Ovis aries: one gene and its partners. The protein of the gene in region 1 interacts with the protein of each later gene in a pairwise test. Links are inferred from orthologs where the notes say so. Each region holds a gene or a part of one and is shown on either strand. Other genes may lie near its edges.

Region 1 (4,245 bases):
GGGCCCCCCTCAGGCCTGCGGCTGGAAACTCCTGTGAAGGGGCAGCGCTCGGCGGACCACCCCCCGCCACCTCGCTGATGTCTGCCCCCTCCTGCTGCAGGGGTGGCTGGCGGCCTGACCAACCTCTCCAAGATGCCTGCCTGCAACATCATGCTGCTTGGGGCGCAGCGCAAGACCCTGTCGGGCTTCTCGTCCACCTCGGTGCTGCCCCACACCGGCTACATCTACCACAGCGACATCGTGCAGTCCCTGCCCCCAGTGAGTGCCCCCCGGGTCCCCGGGTCACTGCTGGCGGCAGGCGTCGGGAGCTGGGAGCCAGAGGGTGGCCCGCACGGGCGGGTGCAAGGGGGCAGGAGCAAGGAGGCCGGAGCCGATGGGCTGGCTTGGGGTTCCGTCAGTGCCACCCACCTGCCCGGCACGGAGCCTGAGCTCTGAACCTCTGTCTCCCAGTCTGTACGTGGGCGAACTGGACCTGGTTTGTCTGCAGACGGGAGAGGAGGTGGGAAAAGACACCAGCGATGATCACTGGTTACTGTAACGCATCAGTGCAGGCCTGAGCCGCAGTGGAGGTGGAGGCTGCCGGGCAGAGAGGGCGGCAAGGCGGCAGTTCTGGGAAGCCTGGGCTCTGAGGCTGCTGCCTCGCTCTGACCCGCCTCCTTGTCTGTTGCCCCAGGATCTGCGGCGGAAAGCCGCCCGGCTGGTGGCCGCCAAGTGTACGCTGGCAGCCCGCGTGGACAGCTTCCACGAGAGTACGGAGGGGAAGGTGAGGGCAGCGTCCGCATGGCCTGTCTGTGGTCTGTCGAGGAGCGCCGTCATCAGAAGACCCTCCCGCACGGGGACTCAGGGCGGGGCGGGGGTGTCGCTGGGCCCCACCCGGGGCGGCGTCCCCTCCCCCACGCTGCCATGATGATGGCCTCAAGTGCAGTGGCCCAGAGGGACACCGGGTTGTGGTCTTAGAGTCCTGCAGGCCAGAGGCCCACGGGGGTTCCCCGAGCTGACGCCGCAGTGCTGGCCGAGTTTGCTCCTCCAGAGGCTCGAGCTCGGGAGGGCCGCTCCCGGCGGTTTCCAGCTTCCCAGGGCCACCGCGACCCCTGCTCGGGGCCCCTGCCTCCATCTTCAGAGCCAGCACAGCCTCTGTGTGCTCTCCCTGGCTCTGCCTCTGCCTGCACTTCTTCTCTGGCCCTTTAAGACCCCTGTGACCCCACTGGCCCCACACACCACTAAGCTCTCACTCCCCTTCAAGATCCCTAACCCAGTCACACCTGCAGAGCCCCGCTTGTCAGGCAGTGAGAGCTCACAGGAACCAGGTAGCAGACACCCTGGGGCGGGGGAGGAACTTCTCTGCTGCACCGGGGTCTCTGGACACCCTGGGGCGGGGAGGAATTTTCTGCTGCACCGGGGTCTCTGGACACCCTGGGGCGGGGAGGAACGTCTTTGCTGCCTTGGGGTCTCTGGACACCCTGGGGCGGGGGAGGAACTTCTCTGCTGCACCGGGGTCTCTGGACACCTTGGGGCGGGGTCGGGGAGGAACTTCTCTGCTGCACCGGGGTGTCTGGACACCCTGGGGCGGGGAGGAGCGTCTTTGCTGCACTCTGTCTCCTCTGCCAGCACTGCTGCCATGCTGGTGTTTATTCCGTTAGCCTGTCCTCCTGGGCAGACCTGTTCTGTGACAGGAGATGTGTCTATCCCGTGCAGTATGGTTTTCCAGGCACCCAGCCTGCCACAGCGTTCGGGGCTCTCTGACCACAGGGTACAGCGGTGACCCGGCCAGATGCAAGTCCTACCCTGTGGCTTCTCCAGTCTGGCTGGGGGCGGGCGGCGATGGGGAGATGCACGCTGGTCAATATGCAGGGCGTCCGGGGTGCCGAGCAGAGGCTGAGGGGAGAGGAGGCTGTGGAGGTGCCAAGGGGGCTTAGACTGATGAACCTGGGAGGCGGGAGGGCTGCTCTGAGGAGGTGAGGGCTTAACGTGGGCCTGCGAGCAGAGAGCAGGCGAGTCCCGTGGACGCTGGGGGACGGGGTCTGAAGCAGCGGGTGGTCAGCGCCAGGCTGGAGCCCAGCGAGCCCCGCGGAGGGGGAGCTGGTGGGACAGGGTGGGTCACGTTGAGCCTGTGCGCCTGGGGAGAGCCTGGCTCCTCAGAGGAGCTGACGGGGCCCTACTGGGGTCCTTCCAGCTGGATTCTCGGGTGCGGCGGTCTCCAGGGCATCCCCCTTACTGACCTGAGAGGAGCTGGGGCGGGGGGCAGGCCAGGCCCGTGGGAGCCGCTGCTGGACCCCAGCCCGCCCTCCCCAGGTGGGCTACGAGCTGAAGGACGAGATTGAGCGCAAGTTCGACAAGTGGCAGGAGCCACCGCCCGTGAAGCAGGTGAAGCCGCTGCCCGCGCCCCTCGACGGGCAGCGCAAGAAGCGAGGCGGCCGCAGGTGGGGCCCGGGGACCGGACCGGGCGGGGTGGGAAGGGCCGAGGCTTCCCCTTCCCGGCTGACCCCCTGCCCCGCCCCAGGTACCGCAAGATGAAGGAGCGGCTGGGGCTGACGGAGATCCGGAAGCAGGCCAACCGCATGAGCTTCGGAGAGGTCACACGCCCCTACCTCGCGCCCCCACGTCCCCTCCACTGCTGTGGCCGAGGCAACACCTCAGCCTCTTCCCGGGCCCCCTGGCCTCCACTCTGTCCCAGCCCCAGAGGGATCTCCCCCCACCGTCCCCACCCCGCTGTCCAGGCCCTCCCAGGCCCCGCGCCTGCCAGGCCCCGGCTACCTGAGCACCACCCCGCTGGTCCTGCCGGAACTAGCTTGCGTGTCGTCAGTGACCACTGTTGCGGCTCTTCACACGGCGCAGGCACACACACACACTCCCCCTCAGCTCAAGCAGTGGTAACAGGACCCCTGCTCCTCACCGGGGCCCCAGCAAGGCTCACTGCACTCAGGGCCCAGGCAGTCCCGGATGGGATGGAGCCCTGGGCTGCCTGAGGGGCGGCTGACACCTGGACGTCTCCCCTCCCACCAGATCGAGGAGGACGCCTACCAGGAGGATCTGGGTTTCAGCCTGGGACATCTGGGCAAGTCGGGCAGCGGGCGGGTGCGGCAGACACAGGTGAACGAGGCTACCAAAGCCAGGATCTCCAAGACGCTGCAGGTGCGGGCCAGCCCTGGGGATGGGGGCGGGGCCTGGGCTACGGGGGCGGGGCCTGGGCTTCGGGGGCAGGCGCGCGTGTGCAGACCCAGGCCACAGCCCTGAGCGCCCTGCCCTCCCCGCAGCGGACCCTGCAGAAGCAGAGCGTGGTGTACGGTGGGAAGTCCACCATCCGTGACCGCTCGTCGGGAACCGCCTCCAGCGTGGCCTTCACCCCACTCCAGGTACTGGGTCTCTGGAGGCAGCAGGCCCGGGGAAGGCCGTGTTCCCCTGTCCTGGGCTGCTGCTTCCTTACCTGTGCCCCACTTCAGGACTGCCATGGGTTTGGGCGGGGGGCTCCAAAGAAGCCCCCGAGGTTGTATCTGGATTCCCAGCACATGTCACGGTTCGCAGGGACCACTGAGTCTCTGTGGCCCCGAGCAGGCCCAGCTGCTCCCACCCTTGAGGATGCCCGCTGAATTCCAGGGGCACTGTCGCAGGCGCTGAGATGGACAGACACACACCAGGGAGTTTGGCCCTTTTGGAGTTTATCTCAGGGGACAGACAAATAGGACACACAGACACACACACACACACGGGGAGTTTCGCCCTCTTGGAGTTTATCTCAGGGGTCAGACAAGTAAGATACATAGTGTTGGGGGGTGGAAAGTGCTGGGCCGGAAAGGACTAAGGGAGACGGAGCCTCCAGGGACAGCCTCAGCAAGGTGAGAATCCCCGGGTGTAAGACGTGGATCAATGCCAGCCACGTGTCAGACCCCCAGAGCTGGTTGGTAAATCCTCGCTGGGGCTGGTGCGGTTCATGCTGGGACTGCGGGCAAGCCTCTTACTTCTGGGACTCGGTTTCTTCATTCAGGAACTGAACGGGATCAGCCTTTCTCACACAGTGATGTTTTTAAAATCGCCTGGGGATCTTGTTAAAATTCAGGGATCCAGGTCCTCCCCGCTGGCCTCACCCCAGAACCACAGAGGATCTCCCAGGGTGGGGGAGACCTGGGGGCTGGCACGCCCTCCACATGGTTGCCCAGAACCCCAGGCCCATCAGGAAGGGCCGTGGGCCCCTGACATGCCACGATTCCCTCACCGGGAGGCTGTTAGAGACCAGGCCATCTCCCCACC
Region 2 (4,943 bases), on another chromosome or scaffold:
CCAGTCAGAAACAGTGGTGCCAGGCCTTTCACTTGGTATGCTGGGGCGATGCAAGTGCCCCCAGGAGCTACAGTTGAAGGGAAGGAGAGGCTCAGAAGACCCAGGAAACAGCAATCCAGGGGTGAAAACCCAACAAAGAACTGCTAAGCACTGGCTATGTATGCTGGACACTTTATGGGGATTTCCTTAAGAGGTGATACATTTTATCTTCATGACTCTCTTAGGAAATAGGCTCTATTATCATTTCCACTTTATAGATGAGGAAGATGAGGCACAGAGAGGTGGAGTATCTTGCCCAAGATAGCACAGCTAGTGAGCAACTGAGCCATGATTCTAAATGCAGGCTCTCTGGTCCCAGAGGCTACATACTGAACTGTCTCATCTGACAGCCTCTTGCAAGTTTAGACCAAAGAGAGACATGAAGAAGATTCTTACTGGGACTCTGGAATGGCACCTCACCAGGAGTCAGTTCCATCTAGGGGTGGAGCTTGAGAATGAAGGAAGTTCACACTTCGGGCTGGGACCTAGAGCAGCGTAGAGCTCCTTGATTCCCGCCCCAAGCATCTCTGGGTATAGTGTGTGCTCAGTCACTAAATCGTGTCCCACCTGATGCTTTGCGATCTCACGGACTGAAAGAATACTGGAGTGGGTTGTCATTTCTTTCTCCAAGGCATCGTCCCAACCCAGGAATTGAACCCTGAATCTCCTGCCTTGGCAGGTGGATTCTTCCTCCCATGCCATCAGGGAGGCCCCCCTTGGGTGTTGTCACCTCTATTTGCATCAAGAGTACAGCCAGTTGCCTGGGGGCTTGGGAGGAAGACCTGCTCCCAGAGGAGTGGCATGTCTATGGCTTATTCCTTCATCACACATTTCTGGTGCCCCTACACCCGTCCTAGGCCACTAGGTGCTGGGGATCCTTCCCCATAAAAGAAAGCTCTAGCCCTGTCTGTGAGGTGCTCATGGTCTGGGGAAAACAGAATCAGAGTTCTCCGTGAGTGAGGCCTGACCAGCGCTGGTGGGACACAGAACAGGTACCACTTTGTTGGGGAAGTCCTGGAAGGCTGTCCAAGAACAGGGACGTAGAGGCCCGGACTTGAGGTGGGATATGATGGGGCAAAGGCAGGACAGACTCGGAGTCTTCGGGCCCCGCCACTGACTCTACCTGGGATATCTGAAAACGGTCCGATGGAGGATTTGTCGAGGTGGGTGGCTGTGCGTAAACGAAAGGAGGACGGCAGCACCCACGTGCGTCCAGGGGACTGCGCCCCAGAGGGGACGGGCTGCGGCTCCCTGCCCCGCCTCCGGACTCGGCGGATTTCTGCGCGAAGAGAATGACAACCCGGCGGCAAGCGGAATGACAAAGCCGACCTGAAGGGCACGCGCTTTTATGTAATCGACCTCGGTTCCAAGGGTCTCACGGGTTGGCGCTGAGCGCAAGAGGCACCCACCGAGGCAGGACGGCTGGGCGCCCACGTTATTTCCTAGCAAACAGGAGCAGGGGAGGCAAAGCGAGCTAAGTTATGGAAGTCCAGGGAGCTTGAGAGCAGGGCAGCTCGCCCCGCCGCCCTTTCCCAGAGCCCGCGGCGGCGAGCCCGGGTGCTCCTCGGCGTCCTTCTCCGCCCGGCCCCTGAGCCGAGCGCGCAGCCCTCCTCCCGGGATCGCTCGCTGGGTGACCTTGGGCGAGCCGCTTGACCTCTCTGGGCGCAGTTGCCCGGGTTCTGCGTCTCGGCCCGCCGTGGCCGAGCCGCGCGGCGCTCCGCGCACGCCTCCCAGGGAGCTGCGGACCGGCGCGGCGCCGGCGGGAGGCCCCCGGGACGCCCCTCCCGGGCTCGGTCGCGTAGCCGGGAGCGGCCCCACCAGGCGGCGCGCCGCAGCGGGCGGCGGGCGGCAGGGCGCGGGGCACAGTGCGCAGGCGCGGCGGGCGGGGCGGGGCCGGGCGCGGCGGGCGGGGCCGGGCGCTCGGCTCCGCGGCTCAGAGAGCGCGGGGCGGCGCGCGGCGTGCGGGTCGCTGCTGAGCTCCGCGCCGGCGCCGGCTGGCGGGGCTCGCCGGGGACTGTGTCCAGTTCGCGGAGCGCGCCGCCGGCTCGGCCGGAGGGCCGCCTGATCGCTCCGGCCCGTGGCGGGAGCGCGGAGCCCGCGTCTGGGAGGCGGCGGCCGCCAGCGCGGGGCCGTCGGCGGCCAACCCCCGGGGACCAGGGCTGCGCGGCCGGTTCCCGCCCCGCGCCGCCGCCGCCGCCACCGCCTCCGCCGCCGCCGCCGTCCCCGGGCCGACTGCTCGGCTTGGCTCCGCCGCGCCCCGCGCCGCCCCACCGCGGCGTCCGGCCCGGGTTCCGCGCCGCTGGGGCGCGGGCGGGGTCGGGGGTTGCGGGGCCGCCGCCGCCGCCCGCCCGCCTGGAGTCCGCGTCCCGGGCCCGGGCGGCCGGCGAGCATGGAGGAGAAGTACCTGCCGGAGCTGATGGCGGAGAAAGACTCCCTGGACCCATCCTTCACGCACGCCCTGCGGCTGGTGAACCAAGGTGAGGGCGCGCGCCGGCCGGCTGGCCGACCGACCGACCGACCGTTAACGGTCGCCCACGGCCGTTGGGGACCCGGGAGCGGCGGGCTGGGGGGAGGGGTGGGGGGCTGGAGACTGGGGGGCGTCGGGCCCGGGGGCGAGGCGCAGGTGTTGGGGGGTGCGGAGCCGTGGCAGCGAGCTGGCCGTCGACCTCGGGGCGACCGGAGGGGACCCAGGTCGCAATCTGGCGGGGGGCGCTGATTCGGGTGGGGATGTGGGACACCTAGGGGAAGCCGGAGTGTTGTGTGCGCGTTGTGGGGAGACGCGGGAAGGGAGGCAGGCTGGGCGTTTGGATGCGACTTGAAGGGAATCTGTGGGGGACTCGAGGGTACCCCAGGGAAACTTGCGGGTGGGGCACCACGAGCATCTGGGGGCTTCGTTGGGGCGGGGGTTGAATGAGCTCATTGGAGGGGAGAATGGGGCGGTGGGGGGCACCAGGGAACTAGTTGCGTTTGGTTAGAGAGCTGGAGAAAGAACTCGAGGAAAATGGAAGGATTCGAGGGGATCGGAAGCAGAAGAGGTGAAGGGAACAGGTGCTTGGATTGTTGGTGAAGTTTGAGGACCTCGGAAGAGGTTTGGGGTCAGAACCCCCGGCACGTTGGAGGAGCAGGGCCCGCTTTCCCGGTTCCCTCTTCATTCCTCTCTCTCTCTCTCTCTCTCTCTCTCTTTCTCTTTCTCTCGCGGGTCCGGGCTCTCGCCGCCCTCCCCGCGGGTGGGCAGCTCACACCTAGCCTTGCAGGCCGGCCCTTGGAGAGTCATCGGGGGGCGGGAAGAGACCCACGCAGGAGAGTCTGCTTCTTGACTTGCCTGTCCTCTCTCTGGGAGGCTCTGGGTGGGTCACCCTCACTGGGGGCCGGCTCGGGGTTGAGAACACTGGCCAAGGAGCCTTTGCTGCTTGTGCCATTTTAGCGCGCCTCGGGCCAGCTCAGGGCGTGAGCCGCCCCGGGAAGTACCGGACGCGGGGTGCCCCGGCGTACGGAGGCGTGCCCGCCCAGGACGGCGTTCCCTGGCTTGTTCCTTCTCCAGCTTCCCGAGTAATCTGCCGGGATGGACGGTAAATGAAGCCCGCCTTCCCCAGAGCGATGTCCTTCATCCCCTCCTGGATCTGGAATGCGTGTTTCAGATAAAGATGGGTTTGGGAGCCGTTGGTATGCTTTTTCTCTGGGTGATGGCACAGACCATCCGGCAGAGGTTATCCCGTCAGATCTGTTACCTTTTGCACGAATCACTGTGCCTTGAGGGTCTGTGGTTCCCGACTCAGCCGGGTCTGCTGATCTTCATGCTGACCCTGGCTTTTTGATTGTTGAAAGTGGAAGATGAGGCAGACATATTCTATTTGAATATAGGTGTCTATATTTTACAATAGCGACCTCCGGTATTTGCCTATTGCAACCCGTTCTTCCTAGTAGGGTGTGTGTGTGGTCGAGTGAGGGTCTTGGTGGAGGGACTGACTGTCTGCAAGAATTTAAGCTTGGTATTTAATTTGTTGAACAGAGATGGGTTCACTGAGCTTTCCCATTTTAATTGTAGGCTTATTTTTATTTCTTTAATAAAACGGGCTTGTGAAAAAGTAATGGCTATGCGTTGCAGAAAGCGAATTTTAAGTTTTATTGCCATGCTCTTGTGAACAGTTGGGTTTGTACTCCTCTCTCTTTGTGATTTACATATATCTTTTGTTGCCTGCTGGGCTGTCATCTCTATGAAAGAAATTTCTTTGTACGTTGTGTGAGATCATTGGCATTAGAAATATTCTGGATTGTGGAATGAAGTGTATTTTTCTGAATAAAGAAGCTGAGTCAAAGTTAGGTTGTACTCAATTAAAGAAGCAGTTTTAACAAAAGTGTAGTAAGTTATCTTATTTTGAAAGTCAGAACTAATTTTCTGTGCCAGGTTGCTGTGGCATTCATTTTGCTAATACATTTGGAATTCTTTTGGTTTCTTTGTTTTTACCTGTGGTAATTGCTTCCAATTATTTGAAACAGATCTTGGGCAATGTTGCCATTTAGTTGTTTTTTTTTTTTAGGTGTTAAACCTGATTACCTTACTTTTTCATCAAAAATGTAATTCTTGCAAGAGGTACATTTCTTACATTGAACAGTTAGGGAAGTAACTTATTCAGATATTCTTATTACTGTTAATTTAGATTTCTTCAGACTGAAATGTTTTCCCCTTAAATCACAGGCTGCTTTCTGGAATGCAGAGCTCTATCATTTAAAATATTAATTATGCTGTTACGTAACTCCAGAATTACAAGTGGCATTTCTGAAACACGGTGTCTTAAATCTGAATTGATTATTATAAAGCTTTGATTTTAAATCTGATAATCATTTTGTGATTGACTACCAAGAGCATTTTTATTCTTTTTTTAATCTGTATTTTTGACTATTTC
Region 3 (4,901 bases), on another chromosome or scaffold:
GGAGGTGGAGGGGCTTTACATTTCTAGCCCATTCTAAACTTCTGTGTTCTAAAATTGGAGCTGCCTTGTTTAGAAAGTAGCTGCTTGGCTGAAGCAAATACTTAACAACTTAGGCTCTTCTAGGACACGCATTAAAACAAGTGGTTGGACTGGGAAAAAGAACAGTCAGGAAACTCACAGACTAGCAGGACTGAAAGGGTAAGTGAATTGAGGCTAGAATGGTACTATGGGTGTGAAAGAGCTTGGGAAACTGTGAAACGCCTTAGAGATCACTGTGACTCACACACTAAGTGGTCCCTTCACTACGGTCTAGGCCAGTGGTTCTCAAACGTTAGCGTGCATCAGAATGACCTGAAAGACTTGTTGAAACAGATCTTGGGACCCACTATTTCTGATTCAATAGGTCTGGCTGCTGCTGCTGCTGCTAAGTCGCTTCAGTCGTGTCCGACTCTGTGCGACCCCATAGATGGCAACCCGCCAGGCTCCCCCGTCCCTGGGATTCTCCAGGCAAGAACACTGGAGTGGGTGCCATTTCCTTCTCCAATGCACGAAAGTGAAAAGTGAAAGTGAAGTCGCTCAGTCACGTCCCACTCTTAGCAACCCCATGGACTGCAGCCCACCAGGCTCCTCCATCCATGGGATTTTCCAGGCAAGATTACTGGAGCGGGGAGCCATTGCCTTCTCTGAATAGGTCTAGATGGTGTCCAATAATTTGCACTTCTCTCAAGTTTCTAGGTGATGCTGAGGCTGCTGGTCCTGGAACCTACTTCCAAAACTGTTCATCTAGGCTGCTGGGTGGGCAAAACCCATGGTATCCGCAGTAATCACAAGTAATCACTAGAATAGGGTTGTCATTATTACCCGGCTCCATCTCTTGGTAACCCCAGTATTCACTCTCTTCTGCCTCCAGATTACTCAGTGCAGTTTTGCTGAGATTTATGGAGGGAAAAGATTGAATTCCTTTCCTCTCTTCCACGTGTCAACCTCCTGTCATTAAAACCCCTTCTTATCTAAAAGCTGCTTCACAGTTTGCAAAAACACTCACATACATTATTGTGTTCAAAAATGAGATACTTTCTTATTTCTGAGCACAAAGCTGAGACTCTTTAGATAATTAGGGGAGGAGGCGATGGGGCAGAAGAACACCCGCTCTCTTCCTTCCCTTTGCATTTGCAGCTCTGAAGGTAGCAATCTGTCCGCGTTTCAGATCAAGGGTCTTAGGATCTGCGTCTTCCTCACCGAAGAGATGCTATAATGTGCGAAGTTAGAGCAAAAAAGGCGTGATGATAAGCATCCCTATGTCGCCTCCTCCCCGCCAAATAAAATGAGTGGGTGGGGGACACCCCGACAGAGTGTTTGCTGCAAGGGTCCCTCGGGTGCTTCTGCTAAAATCGCGCCTCGGTGGCCCGACGCCCCTGATCTCAACTCCGCAGCCCGCTGTCCGCAATGCTAAGACGCAGCACTCCAGCCCTCCGGATTGCTCCTGGGGGATCGCGCGGTGCAACCAACCCCAAGGACGCGGCCGCGACGCCCCCCCCGGCCCTCGGGGCTCCCCATTGGCCGGCGGCCGTCGTCACGCCCTCCTAGCCTCGCCTCCCCCGCCCGGCCGCCGCACCGGCCGGCTAGGTTGCACGCTGGCCGCGGGCTCAGGCCGCGGCGGCGGCTTTGCAGCAGGCGGTGCGGCGGGCGGGGGCCGGGCGCGCGGGCGGGGCGGGGGCGCGCTGCGGGCTCCTCCGCCGGCAGGTGCGGGCCGGGGGCCCGCGGCGGGGCGGGCGGCCGCAGTCGCCGCCAAGGGCGGCAGACGAGGACCTGCCCGGCCGGCCGCCCCATGCCTGCCGCGCCCAGCAGCCCGGCCCGCCGGGAGGGATGCGCGGTGCCGCCCGGTTCTCCTCCGCCCTGCGCGTGCCCTGAAGCAGAAAGTTTGGGGGCCGGGGGCTGTCTTCCTCCTCCCGCTCCAATGACTGCCCAAGGACTCCTGCTGCCCAACCTCGACTGTGACCTGCCTTCGCTCCCCGGGTGGCGATGAACTATTCCAAGCTGTAACCAAGGCTCCCCGCTCCTCGCCCTTTCCTCACCCTCCCTTGAAAAGGTTTATTTTTTCAATTCAAGAAATTGTGATCCGCCCGACTCCCCTCCTCGTTAATAATTTAGACCCGGAGCCTCGTTTCTGAGTGTAAGAGGGGGTGCGGTCTCCCCCCAGGACGGCGCGCTGGAAGGACAGATTCCCCTTGCCGACCCATCTACACCATGAAGAGGTGCAAATCGGACGAGCTGCAGCAACAGCAGGGCGAGGAGGATGGAGCCGGGCTGGAAGATGCTGCTTGCCACCTGCCGGGTGCGGACATCCGGCCTGGGGAGGCCGCGGGTGCTAACTCTGCTGGCGGGCCAACTTCGGATGCGGGCGCTGCCGCGGCGCCCAACCCGGGTCCCCGAAGCAAGCCTCCCGATTTAAAGGTGAGCGCAGACCCTCCCCTTGAGAGCTCAACCGGCGACTTAGCTTTCCCCGCCCCACGCAGAAGTGCTGTAACAGGCTAAAAGTGATGGGGAAGCCAGACAGAGGTCAGAGAGGATGGGCAGATGTTCAGCCAGACCCTGGGCTAGATCTCAGGTACCATTTGTGCCTCTGTCTTTCAGCTTATTTCAGGCCTCTGTGTTTGTTCCTCATTATTCAGCAGACGTTCTAGTGACTCACGCATCGGAGGTTGTTTGAATAATGTGTGTGAAGCGCTATTCGCAGACAAAGAGCTGGAGAAATCCGAAATGCTAACTAAAAAGTTGACATCCCTTCCCCTCCCTGGAAGGGGAAGGAGATAACAGGGGTGGGAACCCAAGCAAAGGACCATTAGCTCCTTTGCTGAATTAGTTTCCTCCTTCTGGGACCTTCCTGGATTGAAGCTCAGTTTGTCCATCTGTGAAAGGGGAGTGTGGGTTTCCTGCCGTTAGGTGGAGCCAGAGGTTAAGCTAGTGCTTGGAGATCCGGGCTGGTTTCCTAAACCAGCCCCCAGGGTGGAGAACTGACAGGTGGCCGCTTGGTGCTTGCGCTGGTTTGGGGCCTCGGTTCAAGTTGCACACATGATGAGCCGGCAGGGAGAACCAGGATCTGAGAGAGGCGGCCACTTGCAGTTGGGAGTCCTTTATTTTCCAGCTTAGGTTGCCGAGACAATTATTGAGCTGTACTGGATATGTCTCTATATTAACTAAAACAGCAGCTGTGATAAATAATGCACCTTTGCTGGAGCTGCCACAGGAATTGCAGGCTCAGGCTTCTCAAGCAAGCTCACCGCCGGGCTGAGAGCGATGTCAGCCCAAGGAAGGAACTTAGACGCCTTGGAGACTGATGCCTTGGGGAGATTTTCTCCAGAGGGGGTGCAAGGTCTTGGCTAGGGGAGCAAAAGGACTCCATTATGTTAAATAAAGCCTGTCTCCTACGGCAGCAGCCACTAAGGAGCTCGCCAGAATAAACCAATGACACTCCTCGTTTGGCCTGAGCGGCACAGAGCCAGGAAGTCAGAGCGCAGGTGAGTGTGTGTCCCCTGTCTGTGTTTCCTGGGGAGGGGTAAGAAGGTGACTTCTGCCTCCATGTGTGTGTCTTAAAAATTGGTGGCAGTTATTTGAACGTAACCTCTGATTTTGCGGCTGCCCTTTTTCAGAGGATCGGGGCTAGCTTTATGTGTAAGATGAGCTCCACTGGGTAGGCAGTTCAGGGAGAGTCCTTGGTACCTGGCCCACCTGCCACCTCTGAGCCCACCTGAGTGGTCAGGAGCCGTGGTTCCTATTTTCAATGAGATGGTGAAGGAAAAGGGCTGCCCTTAGTGCTGACGTGGGGCAGGGGCAGCCTTCTGCTGCAAACTTCAGCTTCCTTCTGGGCTGATCCAGAGGGGTCTGGCCAGCACATCCTGATTCCTTGGTGAGATGGGATCCTCACCCCGAGTCCATGAAAAGCAGCCTTGGAAACTCCTCCACGATTCAGCTCCGGCCGCAGTGAAAACCACCGGCTCCGTTCATGTCCCCCGCTGCCTTCACAAGGGAAGGTGGGCTTGCGGTGGGGGCTGCAGTGTCTTTGTCTCTGTGGATAAAGCTGCTGAAAGAAGCTCATTCATCTCCACCCGCTTACCTCTTATACTCTCTCTCTCTCCCTCTTTTTGGGGGAGGGTGGTGGCGGTTGACACTGTCATTCTGGTTGGGGCAGACACAGCAACAACAGCTCTACACTTGATATTAAATGCGGGTCATCCCTGAACCACAGTTGAGATCAGGTGTGAGAAAAGGACACCTTCTTTTCTTGTCCTTCCAAGTTGTCCTCCACCCCCATCAGAAAACATATTTCTGAGCTGACCATAGCTGTGTGAACCCAGGCTGGCAGCTCAGGGAAAACCTAGCTGTTGCCTGCTCCGTGGGAGCTCGGGGAGACAAGCAGGGCCTTTTCCTGTTTATGTCCGTCTGCTTTATCACGTGTTTACAAAGTAGGGACTTCAGAGACAGACACCAACTTGGGGGCTATCGCAGTTTAATTTGCTGTGTGATCTCAGGCAAGTGACTCAACTTTTCTGAGCCTTTTTCTGGGGAAAGGGACTAGGAATTTTGAAGTATGTCTAAACTTATTTTCCAGCACTGGCATAGTTTTCCAGCAATGGAAAAATCCCATCTTTGGCTGTAGCGCTGCATAGAAGCTACCTTGTTTTAGGTGTGATGGTGGTACCGGAATAGGGTAAGTTTGATTTTTTAACACCCCCTGTCCCCTACCTGTGTCTGGCCTGGAGCAACCTGCAGTTCTGGCTTGGTTTTGTTTTCATTTTAAACTTTGGAAATAGGAATTTCTGGTCCCTTAGTCCACCGCTGTTTTCTTGTAACAGCTCCAGGCGTTGTGATGGATTAGGAGCAGTGGAGGAAATCATCTTGAG

What was found. The genes of interacting proteins can lie anywhere in the genome.
Region 2: the proteins of PRPF31 (region 1) and KHDRBS3 interact in binary tests that used the Homo sapiens proteins (3 or more experiments, as listed by UniProt). The two-hybrid records come from large-scale screens. The link is inferred for Ovis aries from reciprocal best matches to the Homo sapiens genes PRPF31 and KHDRBS3.
Region 3: the proteins of PRPF31 (region 1) and TMCC2 interact in a two-hybrid assay, tested with the Homo sapiens proteins (2 studies listed by BioGRID). The two-hybrid records come from large-scale screens. The link is inferred for Ovis aries from reciprocal best matches to the Homo sapiens genes PRPF31 and TMCC2.

Annotation. Positions count from the first base shown.
Region 1 is NC_056067.1:64,004,946-64,009,190, reverse strand, and holds part of PRPF31 (U4/U6 small nuclear ribonucleoprotein Prp31), read left to right. Parts: intron 1-100; coding exon 101-258; intron 259-673; coding exon 674-763; intron 764-2,292; coding exon 2,293-2,420; intron 2,421-2,500; coding exon 2,501-2,573; intron 2,574-3,003; coding exon 3,004-3,132; intron 3,133-3,254; coding exon 3,255-3,353; intron 3,354-4,245. UniProt on the Homo sapiens protein: Involved in pre-mRNA splicing as component of the spliceosome. Required for the assembly of the U4/U5/U6 tri-snRNP complex, one of the building blocks of the spliceosome.
Region 2 is NC_056062.1:19,608,713-19,613,655, reverse strand, and holds the start of KHDRBS3 (KH domain-containing, RNA-binding, signal transduction-associated protein 3), read left to right. Parts: upstream 1-1,974; 5' UTR 1,975-2,428; coding exon 2,429-2,516; intron 2,517-4,943. UniProt on the Homo sapiens protein: RNA-binding protein that plays a role in the regulation of alternative splicing and influences mRNA splice site selection and exon inclusion. Binds preferentially to the 5'-[AU]UAAA-3' motif in vitro.
Region 3 is NC_056065.1:2,864,434-2,869,334, forward strand, and holds the start of TMCC2 (transmembrane and coiled-coil domains protein 2), read left to right. Parts: upstream 1-1,932; 5' UTR 1,933-2,247; coding exon 2,248-2,454; intron 2,455-4,901.